2 linked regions of the Tamandua tetradactyla genome follow. The protein of the gene in region 1 purifies or fractionates together with the protein of each later gene. This does not show direct contact. Links are inferred from orthologs where the notes say so. Each region holds a gene or a part of one and is shown on either strand. Other genes may lie near its edges.

Region 1 (9,015 bases):
AAAAAGTTAAAAACAAAAAACCCAGGGCTTTCAGACAACTACAGAACTCAATGTTCCAACAGTGTGCAGAGCTTTTATCAGGTACCAAGTGCATACAAAGGCACAAGTCACAGTCCGAGGTGTAATGCAAGTGGAAGGAAACAGACAAATTCCTAAATCAGAGGTTTTCAAATTCTGATAAATGTGAATAAAAATGACGGGAAATACAGCAAGAGCCATAGGGAAGGAAGGGGCTGTCCTCCTTGTGGCTGAAGCGCACGGGAAGAGATTTCGATGTGTCGTGAATGATAAGCATCCGCCCACGCCGAGTTCCAAGGGAAGAAACACCCACCAGAAGGCAACAACCCTGCAATGAATCTAAGTGTGCAAGGGACAGAAAGGGCACTGCGGCTACATTCGAGTGAACCAGGGACAGACCTGGAAAAAGGGAATAGAAAGGGTTGGAGAGTGAAGGCGTTTTGCCAGAGACTGGCTATGAAGCTGGATCACGAAATGCGAACTGGGTAACGAGGAAAAGTACAGGTGACTATGACGGCAGGAGTAAAGCTGGGGACAAGAGGTGGGCCACTGGTTAAGTCGCCGGAGGCTGGTAAGTGACACAAACAAGCGGCAGCGGGTGTAAGACGACGGTGGACGTAGACGAGAAGCAACGGTTTCTGAAGGAGGAGAAAGACTCAAAGCAGCAGCGGGAACCACCCCCAGGGGCGGCCCCCCTCCAGACGGTGACAGATCTCGGCAGCACTGGAGACAAGGGACCTGCACCGCGACGTCGGTTTCTTCCCCCGGGAACCGGACCCGCGCCCGCGCAGGGCCTGCGGGAACCGGCGCTGAGCCACCGCGGCCCGCCCGGGCCATGTGAGTCAAGTCCCCGCTTTAACCAGTCCCGACCTCGGCAACCGGCTGCACAAACTCGACGAGACACCGCAACTGTCGGCTTCAACGACCCCTACTGCAAAATCAAAGGTGAGCGCTTCAACGACCTCCCACGGCCGTTCTGAGGGTCACCCGACGTGCCTGGCACACGACAGGTCAGCACATCACGGCAGACGCCGCCGGAACCAGCCCAAGGCCATTTCCAGGGGCTACGCAGGCAGCTGCACTACAACGCACCGCGCGAGCGCGCCAGACGCCCGTGGGCTCAGCCCGAGCCGGCCCGCTTCGCCCAAGCCCGAACCCGCGCGGCAAACGCGCCACGCGGCGTCCCCTTCCATCTTCACGGACCGGAACCAAACACGGTTCACCACAGAGCTGCTCCGGGAACCCGCAGAAACCCTCCTCACGAGCAGGGGCAGGCCAGAGAACCGAAACGGTCACCCGTCAGTGCATCTCACACTCACACACACACACAGCCGTCAGTGCATCTCACACTCACACACACACCCGTCAGTGCATCTCACACTCACACTCACACCCACACCCACACACACATCAGTCAGTGCATCTCACACTCACACACACACACAGCCGTCAGTGCATCTCACACTCACACCCACAGACCCACACACAGCCGTCAGTGCATCTCACACTCACACACACACACACACAGCCGTCAGTGCATCTCATACTCACACACACACACACACACACGCAGGGGCAGGCCAGAGAACCGAAACGGTCACCCGTCAGTGCATCTCACACTCACACACACACCCGTCAGTGCATCTCACACTCACACACACACACAGCCGTCAGTGCATCTCATACTCACACCCACACACCCACATGCAGGGACAGGCAAGAGAACCGAAACGGTCACCCGTCAGTGCAACACACACACGCACACACACACACACACACACGCAGGGGCAGGCCAGAGACCCGAAACGGTCACCCATCAGTGCATCTCACACTCACACACACACACACCCGTCAGTGCATCTCACACACACACACACACACACACAGCCGTCAGTGCATCTTACACACCCACACACACACGCAGGGGCAGGCAAGAGAACCGAAACGGTCACCCGTCAGTGCAACACACACACACACACACACACACACACGCAGAGGCAGGCCAGAGAACCGAAACGGTCACCCATCAGTGCATCTCACACACACACACACAGAGCCGTCAGTGCATCTCTCACACACACACACACAGAGCCGTCAGTGCATCTCACACTCACACCCACACCCACACATCAGTCAGTGCATCTCACACTCACACACACACACATCAGTCAGTGCATCTCACACTCACACACACACACATCAGTCAGTGCATCTCACACTCACACACACACACACAGCCGTCAGTGCATCTCACACTCACACCCACACACCCACCCACACACACAGCCGTCAGTGCATCTCATACTCACACCCACACACACACACACACGCAGGGGCAGGCCAGAGAACCGAAACGGTCACCCGTCAGTGCATCTCACACTCACACACACACACCCGTCAGTGCATCTCACACTCACACACACACCCGTCAGTGCATCTCACACTCGCACACACACCCGTCAGTGCATCTCACACACACACACAAACCCGTCAGTGAATCTCACACGCACACGCAGGGACAGGCAAGAGAACCGAAACGGTCACCCGTCAGTGCAGCACACACACACACACACACGCAGGGGCAGGCCAGAGAACCGAAACGGTCACCCATCAGTGCATCTCACACACACACACACGCACACACCCGTCAGTGCATTCACACTCACACACACACATCCGTCAGTGCATCTCACACACACACACACACAGAGCCGTCAGTGCATCGCACACTCACACACACACACAGCCGTCAGTGCATCTCACACTCACACCCACCCACCCACACACACACACACGCAGGGGCAGGCAAGAGAACCGAAACGGTCACCCGTCAGTGCATCTCACACTCACTCACACACCCATCAGTGCATCTCACACACACACACACACACACCCGTCAGTGCATCTCACACACACACGCACACGCAGGGACAGGCAAGAGAACCGAAACGGTCACGTCAGTGCAACACACACACACACACACACACACACACATCCCTTCACGGGACTTGAGAAAACGACAAAAGCTGAAACTCACTTTTTTAATGGCGACAATCTGGTTGGTGTTTTTGTCTCTGGCCTTGTACACCGTGGCAAACTAGACAGGGAAACAGGAATAACGTGAGTTTGGGGGGGCTTTTTTGTATTTCTTTTTTACTTCTTTTTACATCTTGGGAGGCAAAGACACCAAGTTTTGGGAGTGGGCTCGCGGCGACTTGCAACGTGGTCAGACACGCCACGTCCCGCCCCGCCCGGGGCTCACCGCCGAGGTGCACAGGGGGCCGCAGGTGCGCGCGGGCGGCCTCCGGGGTCCAGCGCGCTCCCCTCAGGGCGAGGCGGCGCGACGCTGGCCGCTCTGGGCCCTCCCCGTCTCGGCCCGAGAGCCTCACCTGTCCCTCCCCGAGGAAGTCCAGCTTCTCATAACGCTTTGCTCGCGACTTCACGTCCAAAGCCATCGGGCCCGCCAAGTCCGACTCGGCCGAAAGGGTCGCCCTCCCAAGACCGGGAATTTAAAGCTCCTTCAAGCGCCGCGCGGTCACTTCCGCCGGCGGGGCGGGGTCGCGCCCGTGGCTCCGCCCTCACTTCCGTGCTGGGCCGTCCCGGCGAGCCCGCCCCGCCCCCGCCCCCCGTGGCTCCGCCCTCACTTCCGTGCTGGGCCGCCCCGGCGAACCCGCCCCGCCCCCGCCCCCCGTGGCTCCGCCCTCACTTCCGTGCTGGGCCGCCCCGGCGAACCCGCCCCGCCCCCGCCCCCGCCGCCCCCGAGGCTCCGCCCTCACTTCCGTGCTGGGCCGCCCCGGCGAACCCGCCCCGCCCCCGCCACTGCCGCCCCCGAGGCTCCGCCCTCACTTCCGTGCTGGGCCGTCCCGGCGAGCCCGCCCCGCCCCCGCCCCCCGTGGCTCCGCCCTCACTTCCGTGCTGGGCCGCCCCGGCGAACCCGCCCCGCCCCCGCCCCCGCCGCCCCCGAGGCTCCGCCCTCACTTCCGTGCTGGGCCGTCCCGGCGAGCCCGCCCCGCCCCCGCCCCCGTCCCCCCGTGGCTCCGCCCTCACTTCCGTGCTGGGCCGCCCCGGCGAACCCGCCCCGCCCCCGCCACTGCCGCCCCCGAGGCTCCGCCCTCACTTCCGTGCTGGGCCGTCCCGGCTAACCCACCCCGCCCCCGCCCCCGCCCCGTCCCGCGCCGGGTGTCCGCGCTCTGCTCCTGGGCACGCGGTGCGGGGCCACGGTTTGCGTCCTCGTGTCACGGCCCTAACGTGCGTTGTTTCTTGGCTGCTGCGGCTGGTCGGCGTTCTTACGTGGTGTTCTGAGTGTGCGACCTGGTAGGGTTGTGAGTGTGCAAGGCTTGGCCTTGCTCCTCATCTCCTGTTCTGGCCCTTGCGCGCGTCCTAACGCCGCGGTTGCTACGGACGCGGCGCCTCGCGACCTTACGGTTCTTAGGTCCAAAGTTTAAGGCTGGGGAAGAGGCAGTCTTCGTCCAGAGTCCTTGGGGAAAAGCAGGCCCAGGGAAACAAAACCCAGCGCAGCTTAAACTAGTGTACCTGTTAAAACATAAGTCAAATCGTATCATTTTTCTGATCAAAACCCTCCAATGGCCTTTCAGTGATGGTTTCCCTGGATTATCCTATCTAAAATTTCACCCACTTCCCCCACCCTCCTTCCTGTTATATTATCTCCGTAGGACTTTTCACTATATATCATAACATTTTATTATTTGCTCGTTTTCTTTCTCTCTGCTCCTCGGTTTTCTACGCAGTAAGATGGAAACGACAGACTAAACACAAGGTTGTCAGAATTGAGGTGCAAAGTTATTGATCGCTTGCTGTGATCAATAAGGGTTGGTTGTGATCAGTACCGAACCTCTTGATTCTCATAAATTTTCATTGTAATCAACAAAATAAACTGAACCCATTAATTTAATGAATATATGTTTTTTTATGTACCAGGCACAGCTATAGAGTAAAAAGCCAGAAGGGAATAAAACGGATAAAAAGCCCTGCTTTCCAATAAAACAAGCGAATAATAAAATGTTATGATATATAGTGAAAAGTCCTACGGAGATAATATAACAGGAAAGAGGGTGGGGGAAGTGGGTGAAATTTTAGATAGGATAATCCAGGGAAAACATCACTGAAAGGCCATTGGAGGGTTTTATCAGAAAAATGATATGATTTGACTATGTTTTAACAGGTACACTGGCTTTTGTGAGAGGCGACATTATAGACTTAGGCAAGAAGAGAAACAAGAAGACCTGTTAATAGGATTATTACAATAATCCATAAGGCTTGTATTAAATTGGTTATGCAACATGATGTATCACTGGGATAACTTGCCAGTTAGGCTTCTAGCCAATAGGATTTGCTCGTAGTATGGATATGGATTGTGAAAAAAATGGATATTTCCAGCTTTGGGACTTAAGCAGCTGGAAGAAAGAAATGATATTTCCTCCCTTTCTTTGCAATGGGTGTTTCTAAGAATTCAGAATCCTTATTTTCAGAGATATGTGTAGGAAATGCAGGGCAATTAGCAAGGCCAGTCATAGTTAAGGTAGTGTAGAGGTTGGATTCTTGCTCTGGAACCTGCATTTTAATACTGGCACCATTAGCATTCAGTCACTAGTAGTACGACTTGGGCACAAGTATGACTTCTGTGCTTGTTTCCTATTCTGTAATAGGGATGATGCGAAGTTTAAATGAGTTTGCACTTGTAAAGCCCTAAGAATATGGTGTGATAGCTAAGTGCTCAGTTTGTTAATCATTTTTATTGGTCACCTTTCAGCCCTTTGTCACTACTTGGGTTTTTACTGCGCGCTGATGAGCCTGCAGGCAAAATTCTAATACAGTACAGAAAACACATCATCGTTAACAGTACTATATCTTTTAATTGTGGCAACTTATCCCAGTGATGTATCATGTTGCAGACTCAGGTAACAGTTTCTAATGACAGACATCACTGTAATACTAATCCAACCTCACCTTTAGTAATGGTACGCTTGTGAAGCTAGAGATTCCAAGTGTGCAGTGCACATGAATTGATAACCACTGTATCATACCTGCTGCTGACAAGGAAACGTTTTGGGTAAGATGACAAGTATCAAGATGATATTCTGGGGTAATGGGGTAGTTATGTATATAAAATACTACTTCGCATTCGTATAGCTTTTTACAGTTTACAAAAGCACTTTTACCCATCTGTAGTAACCAGCTTCCAAGATGGACCCCAACCATCCTTGCCTCCTGGTATTAATGGACCTGTATAGTCTCCCACAAGGAAACAGGCTGTTCTGTCTGACCAAGAAATTGAGTGGCAGAAGTGATTCCAATTTCTAAGGCTACGTCATAAAAGATGCTGTTTCTGCCTTGAGAATTTGGATCATTTACTCTGGGGGAAGCCAGCTGCCATGTTAGGAATTGCCCGGACAGCCCTATGGAGAGGCATGTGGAGGGGAACGACAGCCAGCACCAACAGTCAGCCACGTGGATCTTTAAAGTGGATCATCCAGCCCCAAGAGGCATCTGATTACGACCTCAGGAGAACTGCAACTGCCCAGCTAAGCTGCTCCTGAATTCCAGACGCAGAGAGACCATGAAAGATATGAAATGATTATTTTATAGCCACTGAGTTTTGGGGGTGATATTATTTTACCAAGTAATAGATAATACACTAACTTGATCCTCCCCGATACACTAAACTGTACGGTAATGGAGACGAAAAATGAAACTTGAACAAACTAAGTAACTTGGTGATGGTTACATTTAAGTGCTAAACCCCTAAATGAAAATACAGGTTATCTCACTCTAAGCCTAGCCAGAATTCTTTCAACACTTCTTGGGAACTCATTTTCTGACACCAGTTCTTACTGACGTGGCTTTTGCCATACCTGTTGTGCTGGTTTGAAAGGATGTCTGTACCCTAAAAAGCCATGTTTTAATCCTAATCCCATTTTGTAAAGGCAGCCGTTTCTTCCAATCCCTATTCAGTACTGTTTGTTTGAAACTGTAATTAGATCATCTCCCTGGAGATGTGACTCAGTCAAGAGTGGTTGTTAAAATTTATATTTTGACAAGTACATTTTCTTATATAACTTATGTAGACAGCTTAATTGAACACCATAAGTACATGGAACCTTGAGTAGGACATGAGATTTTGTTGGATTGTCCAGAGTGATGTCCCGATAAATCCCAGAATGATTTGAACAGTGAATAAAAAAGTATTTGCAAAGTCCCCTTCGGGGAATGGTGAAAAAGGGGGAAAATTCAACTTCCCTAACTTGAATTCTTGATATTCTCACAAGCAGTGTAAACAATCAAAGCTATAGGCTGAGCCCCCAATCTTGGGGTTTGGTCATATGAAACTTAACCCCACAAAGGATAGGTCAAGCCTACTTAAACTTAGGCCTAAGAGTCACCCCCAAGAGAACCTCTTTTGTTGCTCAGATGTGGCCTCTCTCTCTCTCTCGGCCAACACAGCAAGCAAACTCACCACTCTCCCCGTGTACGTAGGACATGACTCCCAGGGGTATGGACCTTCCTGGCAATGTGGGACAGAAATCCCAGAATGAGCTAAGACTCAGCATCAAAGGATTGAGAAAACCTTCTTGACCAAAAGGGGGAAGAGTGAAGTAGACAAAATAAGTGTCAATGGCTGAGAGATTCCAAACAGAGTCAAGAGGCTATCCTGGAGGTTATTCTTACGCATTAAATAGATATCACCTTGTTAGTCAAGATGTAGTGGAGAGGCTGGAGGAAACTGCCTGGAAATGTAGAGCTGTGTTCCAGTAGCCATGTTCCTTGAAGATGATTATATAATGATATAGCTTTCACAATGTGACTGTGTGATTGTGACAATCTTGTGTCTGATTCTCCTTTTATCTACCTTATCAACAGACGAGTAAAACATACGGAATAAGATGAATAATAGAGGGAACAAATGTTAAAATAAATTTAGAGTGAAATGCTGGTGATCGATGAGGGGGAGGGGTGGGGGGTATGGTATATATGGATTTTTTTCTGTTTTCTTTTAATTTCTTTCCTGAATAGATGCAAATGTTCTAAGAAGTGATCATGATGATGAATATGTGATATTGTGATTTAGATAATATGATGATGTGAATTACTGATTATATATGTAGAACGGAATGATAAATTATGAATGTTTGCGTTTGGTGTTTTTTTGGTATTTTTTTTAAATAAAAAAATTAATTTAAAAAATGAAAAAAAAAGAGTGGTTGTTAAACTGGATAAGGTGGAGACATGTCTCCACCCATTCGGGTGGGTCTTGATTAATTTACGGAATCCTATGAAAGAGGAAACATTTTGGAGAATGAGGAGATTCAGAGAGAGCAGAGAATGCTGCAGCACCATGAAGCAGAGAGTCTACCAGCCAGCAGCCTCTGAAGATGAAGAAGGAAACCGCTTCCCGGGGAGCTTCATGAAACAGAAGCCAGGAGAGAAAGCTCGCAGATGACACCGTATTCGCCATGTGTCCTTCCAGATGAGAGAGAAACCCTGACTGTTCACCATGTGCGTTTTCACTTGAGAGAGAAACCCTGAACCTCATCAGTCTTCTTGAACCAAAGTTATCTTTCCCTGGATGCCTTAGATTGGACATTTCTATCGACTTGCTTTAATTGGGACATTTTCTCAGCCTCAGAACTGTAAACTACCAATTAAATTCCCCTTTTTTAAAAGCCATTCCGTTTCTGGTATATCACATTCCAGCAGCTAGCAATCGAGAACACCTGTACTCACACATTCTGTAAAGTGACATATTTTTCACTGTGACTTTCATGGCAGTGGCTGAAGTAAAGGAAGCCCTCATCCATAGCTCCAACTGGGATTTCTAACTGCTGGCCCAGAGTATTACTTAAACCATTCTTTAGTACCTGAACCAAATCCGTTAGTCTATGGGACTAAATACTAGATGCTTAAAAAGCAAAAAATTGGTCCTGAGCTTCCTTTTATGGAAATGAGAAACTTAAAAGAAAGAATGTTAATTTTTTTTTC
Region 2 (9,620 bases), on another chromosome or scaffold:
TTTATTCCATATGTTCTACACCTTTGTTAACAAGGTAGATAAAAGGAGCATCAGACACAGGTTTTCACAATCACACGGTCACATTGTGAAAGCTATATCATTATACAATCATCATCAAGAAACATGGCTACTGGAACACAGCTCTACATTTTCAGGCAGTTCCCTCCAGCCTCTTCATTACATCTTGGATAACAAAATGATATCTACTTAATACATAAGAATAGCCTCCAGGATAACCTCTCGACTCTGGAATCTCTCAGCCATTGACACTTTGTCTCATTTCACTCTTCTCCCTTTTGGTCAGGAAGGTTTTCTCAATCCCTTGATGCCGGGTCTTAGCTCATTCTAGAGTTTTTCTCTATCGCTTGATGCTGAGTCTCAGCTCATTCCAGGATCTCTGTCCCACGTTGCCAGGAAGATACACACCCCTGGAAGTCATGTCGCACATAGACAGGGGGAGGGTGGTGAGTTTGCTTGTTGTGTTGGCTGGAGAGAGGGGCCACATCTGAGCAACAAAAGAGGTTCTCTTGGGGGTGACTCTTAGTCCTAATTTTAAGTAGGCTTGACCTATCCTTTGTGGGGTTAAGTTTTATATGAACAAATCCCAAGACTGGGGGCTCAGCCTATAGCTTTGGTTGTCCACACTGCTTGTGAGAATATCAAGAATTCAACTTGGGGAAGTTGAGTTTTCCCCCGTTCTCACCATTCCCCGAAGGGGACTTTGCAAATACTTTTCCACTCACTGATCAAATCACTCTGGGATTCATTGGGGCATCACCTGGACAAACCAACAAAATCTCCATGTCCTACCCAAGGTTCCATGTGCTTATGTTGTTCAACCAACTATCTACATCAGTTATATTAGGAGATGCACTAGTCAAAACATAAATTTTGTATCAAATAAATATTTTTTGCTTTAGTCTCACACATAAGTTGAAATTTTAAAATATTAACTGCCATCTATTTTCAGCACCCTGCAGTAATGACATTCTTTTGTTCTTCCTCATGCAAAAACATTTTTTAAATTTGTACATTTAGTCACTATCATTATACACTCTAGGCATTCCTAGATTATACCATCTCAATCTTTATCAGCTGTCTTTCTTTCTGATTTCATTTATGTCCCCAGCCCTCCTCCCTCTATCATTCTCACATTCAGCTTTACTCAGTGTTTTAACATTATTACAGTTAGGTAGTATTGTGCTGTCCATTTTTGAGTTTTTATATTCAGTCCTGTTGTACAATCTGTATCCCTTCAGCTCCAATTACCCAATATCTTACCCTATTTCTATCTCCTGAAGGTCTCTGTTACCAATAAAATATTCCAAGTTTATTCACTAATGTCAGTTCATATCAGTGAGACCATACAGTATTTGTCCTTTTGTTTTGGCTAATCACACTCAGCATAATGTCCTTAAGGTCCATCCATGTTGTTACATACTTCATAAGTTTATTCTGTCTTACAGCTGCATAATATTCCATCTTATGTATAGGCTACGGTTTGTTTAGCCACCCATCTGTTGATGGACATTTTGACTGTTTCCATCTCTTGGTAATTGTAAATAATGCTGCTATAAACATTGGTGTGCAAATGTCCATTTGTGTGCTTGCCCTCATGTCTTTTGAGTAGAGACAGCATATAGATGGGTCCTGTTTTTTATCCATTCTGCCAGACTATGTCTTTTGATTGGGGAGTTTAGTCCATTAACATTCAGTGTTATTACTGCATGGGTAGTACTTTCTTCTACTATTTTGCTTTCTGGATTTTATATGTTATATCTAATTTTCCTTCTTTTTATCTTTACTCATAGTCTTCCTTTCTGCACTCTTCTCCACACCTCTTTCTTCTGTCTTCGTATCTGTCTCTAGTGCTCCCTTTAGTATTTCTTGCAGAGCTGGTCTCTTGGTCACAAATTCTCTCAGTGATTTTTTGCCTGAAAATGTTTTAATTTCTCCCTCATTTTTGAAGGACAGTTTTGCTGGGTATAGAATTCTTGGTTGACAGTTTTTCTCTTTTAAAAATTTAAATATATCATCCGACTGTCTTCTTGCCTCCATGGTTTCTGCTGAGAGATCTATACATAGTCTTATTGGGCTTCCCTTGTACGTGATGGATTGCTTTTCTCTTGCTGCTTTCAAGATTCGCTCCTTCTCTATGACTTCTGACATTCTGGTCAGTAAATGTCTTGGAGTACGTCTATTTGGATCTATTCTCTTTGGGGTATGCTGCACTTCTTGGATCTGTAATTTTAAGTCTTTCGTAAGGGTTGGGACATTTTCAGTGATAATTTCCTCCATTAGTTTTTCTCCTTCTTTCCCCTTCTCTTCTCCTTCTGGGATACCCACAACACGTATATTCATGTGCTTCATATTGTCTTTCAGTTCCCTGAGTCCCTGCTCATATTTTTCCATTTTTCACCATATTTTCTTTTTCTTGCCAGATTTCAGATGTTCTGTCTTCCAGTTCACTAATCCTATGTTCTGTCTCTCAAAATCTACCATTGTAGGTTTCCATCGTTTTTTTCATCTCTTCTTCTGTGCCTTTCATTCCCATAAGTTCTGTGATTTGTTTTTTCAGACTCTCGATTTCTTCTTTTTGTTCATTCCTTGCCTTCTTTATATCCTCCCTCAATTCATTGATTTGGTTTTTGATGAGGTTTTCTATGTCTGTTTGTATATTCTGAATTAATTGTTTCAGCTTCTGTATCTCATTTGAATTGTTGGTTTGTTCCTTTGACTGGGCCATATCTTCACTTTTCCTAGTGTGATTTGTTATTTTTTGCTGGTGTCTAGGCATTTAATTACCTTAATTAGTTTATTCTGGAGATTGCTTTCACTTCTTTACCTAAAGTTTTCTTGCTGGATGAATTTGTTGTCTATCTGTTCTTTGACATTCAGTTCAGCTTTATCTGGACCTCTAGCTTAAGTTTTGTTTAACAGAGGAGAATTTTTAAGCTCTTGTTTTCTTGTTTCTTGCCCTGCTTGTATGGTGCCTCCCCCACACTTAGGAGGGTCTACTTAGGTATTATAGACCCCAGCTGGATTTTCCCAGATCAAACTGGCCTCCTATCAGGAGGAAAGAGTCACCTGCATCAGTTTTCCCTGAGGGTGAGACCCAGCAGGTTGAAAGACTTTCCTGTGAAGTCTCTGGGCTCTGTTTTTCTTATCCTGCCCGGTATGTGGCGCTTGTCTGCCTGCAGGTCCCAACAGCATAAGATGATGTGGTACCTTTAACTTTGGCAGACTCTCCCTGCTGGGGGCATGGTGGGGACACAGGAGAGGTTGTAGGCTGATTTTAATGGCTTCAAATTACCAAGCCCTAGTGTTTGAATTCCTTGAGGGAGGGATTCCACCTGAGTTAGCTTCACCCCTCCCCTGGGGAAGGTACAGGCTCCAGACAAGCTGTCAAACGAGCTTGTTTCTGCTTATGCCTGAGGCAGTTGCAGCCTGATAAGCCCTGCCGCTGTATTCAAAGGCAGTCAAGCCTTTGTAGAAACAAAGCCACAAAAACCTCTGTTTCCTTTTTTCCTCCCTTTTTTTCTTTTTCCATCAGTGCTGCCCCCTTGGCGCCAGGGCAAAAATGAGAGACCTCCGCTTTGACCAGGTTCACCTGAGCTGGGGGCCTATTTTCAGTAGTCAGAATTTGTTAATTAATTCCACAATTGGCGTTTGGTTGGGCTCAGCCCCTGTTTCTGGTCAAGTCCCTTTCCTTTCCCCTCTGGGAAGCAGCCTGTGGGGGAGAGGCACCGGCCGCCATGGCTTGGGGAACTCACGGTTCTGGGGGGGGCTCACAGCCGGCCCAGCTGGTCCAGACTGGGGTACGCTGTGTGTCCGGTCACTGATGTGGCCCCAGGAGCTGTTCTGTACTGTTTCTGGTTATTTAGTAGTTGCTCTGGAGGACGAACTATAACGTGCACATTGTTAAGCCACCATCTTGGCCTGGAAGTCCCACCTTGTCCTTTTAATACATGAAACCACAAGGAACAGCTCTGTGTAGGCAATTGTTCCTATTCAGTGTTCCCCTTGGTTAAAGTTCTCAGTTCTCAGCTTTGGGGTCATGTCACCGATCTTATTAACCGGCTCAAACCCCAGTCCTCTAACTATTATTATGAGTTCTACTGGCTCCTTAGAACCCACTTCGAGAAACTTTACCTTACTTTGAAACTATATTTTCATTCATGTGTTTGTATGATGTTTTGGTTTGCTAAAGCTGCCATTTCTGCAAAATGCCAGAAATGGATTGGCTTTTATAAAGGTGATTTATTAAATTTCGAGTTACAATTCTAAGGCCATGAAAATGTCCAAATTAAGGCACCAACAAGAGGATACCTTCTTGGAGGAGAGGCAGCTGGCATCTGACCTGTCACATAGGAAGGTATATGGCAACATCTGCTGTCCTTCTCTTCGGGCTTCTGGTTTCAAATGGGTCTCTCAGCTTCTGGTGTCTCCTGGGGTGTTTTCCTTCTATTTCTCCAAATATCTGTGTGTTCTCCAAACGTCCCTCTCTTAAAGGACTCCAGTAAGCGGATTAAGACCCACTTTGAATGAGCAGGACCACATCTTCATGGGAACAATCCGATCAAAAGGTCCCACCTAACAATAGATCTGCCCCCACAAGTTTGGATTAGAAGACCGTGTCTTTTCTGGGGTTCATAACGGTTTCAAACCAGGACATATGACATTAACCATTAATGTCATTTGTTAGGGTATCCTTATTCTCACTTTAGAAGTAAACAAACCAAGTTCTTAGAGGAGAACCTGCCCAGTCAGATCAGGTATCACTCCCACCCCATCCCAGTCCTTTGCCCTCAGGATCGTCACTGCCTGGGAATGAGTCTGTCTTCCACACTGGACTGTGAGCCTGGGGCTCTTCGGTCCCTGCTATGTCCTCAGTATCCTCCAGCACGGGGGTAGGGAGGCACAGAGGAGAGGCTCAGGGAGCATGTGTTGATTGAATGAATGAATGAAATGAGGTGATTATTAAGGAAACAGCAACCTTGGTGGGGCCCGCTTTCTCCAGCCTCTGTCTCTCCTGATGAACCTTGTGGTTGTGCCAATGAGACCCCTTTCTCTAATCCTTGCTAAATAGGGAACTGGGGACCTACCCCTCTTCTCTGCCTGAATCAGCTCCAGGAACTCTCATTTCTCCTGTTATAAGCCCTTATGATTTCCTGAATTTTCCTTCATACTTCTTGTCACACTTGTAATCATATATTTATTTGTATGTTTAATATCTGTTCTTTGAGGACAGAAACAGGGGCGTTTTGGGGGTACCTCTGTGTTCTCAGAGTTCAGCACAGGATCTCAGCTCCCATAATGGTTTCTTGAATGGACAAATAAAAGCTAACATTTATTGAATGCTTAGTATGTGCAAAGCCCCATTTTAACGGCTTTATGTGGGTTAATTTAAAGGTCACCTATGTGGTAGATATTCTAATTGTTCCCAGTTTACAATGAGAAAAATAAACCACAGAGAGGTCAAGTAATTTGATCAAGGTCACACAGCTAGCAGATAGCAGAACCAGGATTTGGACCCAGGAGTTCTGGCTCCAGAGACCCACTTTAGCCACAAACTATACTGCTTTTCCATTATTGACTGAATAAAAACACCTAGCTCAGTCTCTGGAGAACAGTAGGCGCTCAATAAATGGGAAGTTATTTATTCCACAGGGGACAAGGACACAGCAGACACTTTATAAATGATACTTATTTCGTGCGGTGAAGCCATTGCGACCTCGCGGGCCCCGGAGGGATTTCCAATTTCACTGTCATTCTCCCGCAGACTCTACTCGCTGTTGGGATAATCAGGGCAGAAGTAGGAAGAACGAAGCCAACTGAATGGGATCGATCCTCTCGGGACTCCTCCTTCCGCGTTTTGTTTTTTGTCTTCGGCGATCCTCAGCGATGCCTGGGAAACCACCTCCCGCCTCAGAGCGGCCCCCCGAAGTGCGCATGCGCATTACCCTCCTGGCGGAGTGGCGTGCGGCATCAGCCAATGCGCTGTGCGGAAGGTGGAGCGGGACCGCTAAGGCGCCCCAGGGACCTTCCCTTCACTGAATATTAATGAAGGAGGCGTGTCGACGACTTTGCAAACCGGAGTCGGCGCCATGAAGTGAGATGGGGGCTGGGGGTCGCGGCGCGTGACGGGCTCCAGGGCTTGAAGTTGGGAGTACCGGTGGGGGTACCGGTGGGCACCCCTGGGCCCCGGTGGAGCGAGGGGGAGGCCGAAGCGGTGGGGTGGGGGTAGCGGCGGGAACCGTCGGGGTGGTGACGGGGATGGCCCGCGAGGAGACGCCGAGGGGCCCCGGAGGCTCCTGTGGAAGTGGACGACGGGGGAGTGTGGGGGCTGGAGGGAGGGCCGGGGGGCCGGGGGCCTGACCCCGCAGCCCTTGCTGTCAGGCTCAACGTGGACGGGCTGCTGGTCTACTTCCCTTACGACTACATATACCCGGAGCAGTTCTCTTACATGCTGGAGCTGAAACGCACGCTGGACGCCAAGGTGTGTGGGCCCGGCCGGCCGATGCCTTTTTGACTGAGATTACGGGACGTCTAGACCAGGAAAACCCCAAAGTTTTCGATATCTGAGGTTCTGGGGAATCAGGACTCTAAAGCCAGCCTCCCAGGCATCTAAACTAATAAGAGCTGGTAATAGCAGCAGCTAACATCAAAGGCTAAACGTCTCCAGCGGTTAGGAATAAATGGACTTTTGAAGTCTGCTGTCTGGATTGGAATCCAGGACTCACAGTCCACCGGCTGTGTGCCCTCAGGCTAGTCACTTAACTTCCCTGTTCCACTGTATCCTCCCCTGTCAGATACCTCATGGGTTGTTGTGATGGTTAAATGAGTTAATAAACAAAAGACAGTGGTTCACAACCAAGGGCAGTTTGCCTCTCTCCTCCTAGGGGACACTTGGTAACGTCTCGTGACATTTCTGGTTGTCACATAGTGGAGGGGCATGTGTGTTACTGGCATCTAGTGGGTAGAGACCAGGGATGTCGCTAAACATCCTAAAATGTGCCTGATAGCAATAGTGACCAAGACTTATCGGGTCCAAAATGTTGACAGTACAAAGGTTGAGAAACTTGGTTGTAAGGAACCATGCCAGACTGTGGAAGCATTTGTAAATTCAGAGAAAAAGGAGGCTCACCCTCTATCAGATATTGTGCTAAAAATTTAACCCATAGATTTTCACGATCTTCTCAGTCATGCTATGAGGAAGGTTTTAGTAGTAGACCCATTTAGAGAAGAGGATATTGATGCCCAGAGAGGTGAAGATACTTGCCTAAAACAATTCAACAAGCAGGTGGCAGAAGTGGGGTTCAAGCCCATTGCCCCTGGGGACCAAACTTTTAACTGCTATGCTGACCTGCAGCTATTCTGGGAGGGTGGTGGCACCCCAAAAGTTGGGTCCCTGAGATTCTGAGAGCCCATGTGTTATTCCTTCCACCCTCAACTTCAGGGTCATGGCGTCCTGGAGATGCCATCAGGCACTGGGAAGACAGTATCCCTGTTAGCCCTGATCATCGCATACCAGCGGGTGAGTGACTCTCTGGGCCCAGGGAAGGGGTGGGGGAGAGGCCATTCGGGGCTGAGGCCACTTGTCATTGGCAGGCATACCCGCTGGAGGTGACCAAACTCATCTACTGCTCGAGGACCGTGCCTGAGATTGAGAAGGTGAGCTGGGGCCTGTCCCAGGGCCCCCTCCTCTACTCCCGGGACTCCCTTGGTCACCAGCCTTGGGGGATTTGGGGGGCTGGGGAAGGAGCTGGGGTCTGGCTATTTAGGCGCTTGTGCTTTCACTGAGGCTGAGTTTTCCTGGCTGAGCAGGTAATCGAAGAGCTGCGTAAACTGCTCAACTTCTATGAGAAGCAGGAGGGCGAGAAGCTGCCATTCTTGGGACTAGCTCTGAGCTCCCGCAAGAACCTGTGTATTCACCCTGAGGTGAGTGTCTGTTCCCCTCTTTTCCCTAAGCCTGGGCTTGGGGCAACTCCTCTTTCCAGCCAGTAGTCCTAGATCCCCAGACCAGATTCCTCAGGTAGGTATGTGGGTCCCCTGCATGGAATCCCTTTGTCACTTGTCAAATGTGAGCTCATTGTTCATGGCCTAGACCAGCAGGGAGCCTTCCCACCTTCTCCCAGTCAGGAGAGGTTAAAAAGGCATCTCCTGGAGGCTGGCAGACCTCATTTCCTAAGCCCTGAAATTTAGTAGTTTTATCCTCTTGTACAAGTGATTTCTACCCTTGGGCCTCAGTTTTCACTTCTGTAAAATGGAAATAATTAAGTACCTGCCTCATTTGATGGTTGATAACACTGGGCAAGATGATACATATAAAGCCCTTAGAATGTACAGAAAGGTAAAAGAATGTTTGAAACTATCATAGTATTTATATCATGGTGATAGCTGACATAAGGTTATTTCGACAACCATTGTGGTCATCATATGCCAGGTCTTGTTCCAAGTCGTTACAAGACATTATTTGTAAGAATATGCAACAAACAATACATATGATGAATGATCATTTAAGAGAAGTAGTCCAGGCATAAGAATGATGAGATGGGAAAGGGAAGGAAGGGGTCAGTGATCTTGGAGTCTTCCCCTTTGATGAATGAAAAGATTTTGTTATTCTGGAAGGAAGCCCGGGGTTGTTAAGGTGCCCCTGACAGAGTCATGGAGAGTTCAGGGCTGTGCAGGGGCAAAGGGGTTCGTAGTCGGGATGCTCAGTCCTTCCCTGCTTCTGCAGACTTGCTAAGGTTCAGGGTTTATAGGTGTTTCAAAGGATAAACAGTTGTAAAGTTCTAAGTTTTTGATGTTCTCCTCAATGTCTACCCCTTAGATTTGTCAAGTCTTTAATGTTTTAAAAATAAGTGTTAAGAGTCTAAAAGCATTACCTGTTAAGAGTAAATAGTTACTTGTTTAGTCTTGACTGTTTAATAGAAAACAGTTTGATGTGTGAGTTTTCCAAAGAACTAGCTAGAGTCTCTGGCTGGTTGGAGGTGGGAGTGGGCCACTCAGCCTGTCCCCCGCACCCTCAGGTGACGCCCCTGCGCTTTGGGAAGGACGTCGATGGAAAGTGCCACAGCCTGACGGCCTCTTACATTCGGGCACAGCATGAACAGAACCCCAGCCTACCCCACTGCCGCTTTTATGAGGTACCCTAGAGGCGAGGGCATGGGGTGGACCCCTTGGGCAGATGGCCACCCTTACCCCAGAGACCCTCTCGCCTCACCTCAGGAATTTGATGCTCATGGACGCCAGGTGCCCCTCTCTGCTGGCATCTACAACCTGGATGACCTGAAGGCCCTGGGGCAGCGCCAAGGATGGTGCCCCTACTTCCTGGCCCGCTACTCGGTGAGGAGCTGGGGGCCAGGGGACCACGTGGTTGAAGGCTGCCTCCCTGTCCCTCCTGCCTCTTGTCTCCATCTCTACCTGCTTGTGTGTGTCTTTCTGTCTTCTGCCTGAGTCTGTCCTTCTCTATACCCATGTCTGTGACCATCTGTCTGTCTGCTATGAGCATCTGTCTGCCTGGGTCAGTTGGTCTGTCTGTGTCTTGTCTGCTTGTGAGTGTGCCTCTCTGTCTATGTTTGTGTCTGTCTGCTTTTCTGCATGCTGCCACCTGGGCC

The links.
Region 2: the proteins of CDK7 (region 1) and ERCC2 purify together in Homo sapiens (affinity purification with mass spectrometry; 10 studies listed by BioGRID and IntAct, counting the BioPlex papers as one, with this or other methods). This does not show direct contact. The link is inferred for Tamandua tetradactyla from reciprocal best matches to the Homo sapiens genes CDK7 and ERCC2.

What each region holds. Positions count from the first base shown.
Region 1 is NC_135335.1:117,429,629-117,438,643, reverse strand, and holds the start of CDK7 (cyclin-dependent kinase 7), read right to left. Parts: upstream 3,595-9,015; 5' UTR 3,474-3,594; coding exon 3,408-3,473; intron 3,116-3,407; coding exon 3,056-3,115; intron 1-3,055. UniProt on the Homo sapiens protein: Serine/threonine kinase involved in cell cycle control and in RNA polymerase II-mediated RNA transcription. Cyclin-dependent kinases (CDKs) are activated by the binding to a cyclin and mediate the progression through the cell cycle.
Region 2 is NC_135342.1:15,624,802-15,634,421, forward strand, and holds the start of ERCC2 (general transcription and DNA repair factor IIH helicase subunit XPD), read left to right. Parts: upstream 1-5,979; 5' UTR 5,980-6,107; coding exon 6,108-6,112; exon of another isoform or gene 6,113-6,187; intron 6,188-6,399; coding exon 6,400-6,499; intron 6,500-7,459; coding exon 7,460-7,537; intron 7,538-7,611; coding exon 7,612-7,674; intron 7,675-7,827; coding exon 7,828-7,941; intron 7,942-9,032; coding exon 9,033-9,149; intron 9,150-9,231; coding exon 9,232-9,348; intron 9,349-9,620. UniProt on the Homo sapiens protein: ATP-dependent 5'-3' DNA helicase. Component of the general transcription and DNA repair factor IIH (TFIIH) core complex, not absolutely essential for minimal transcription in vitro.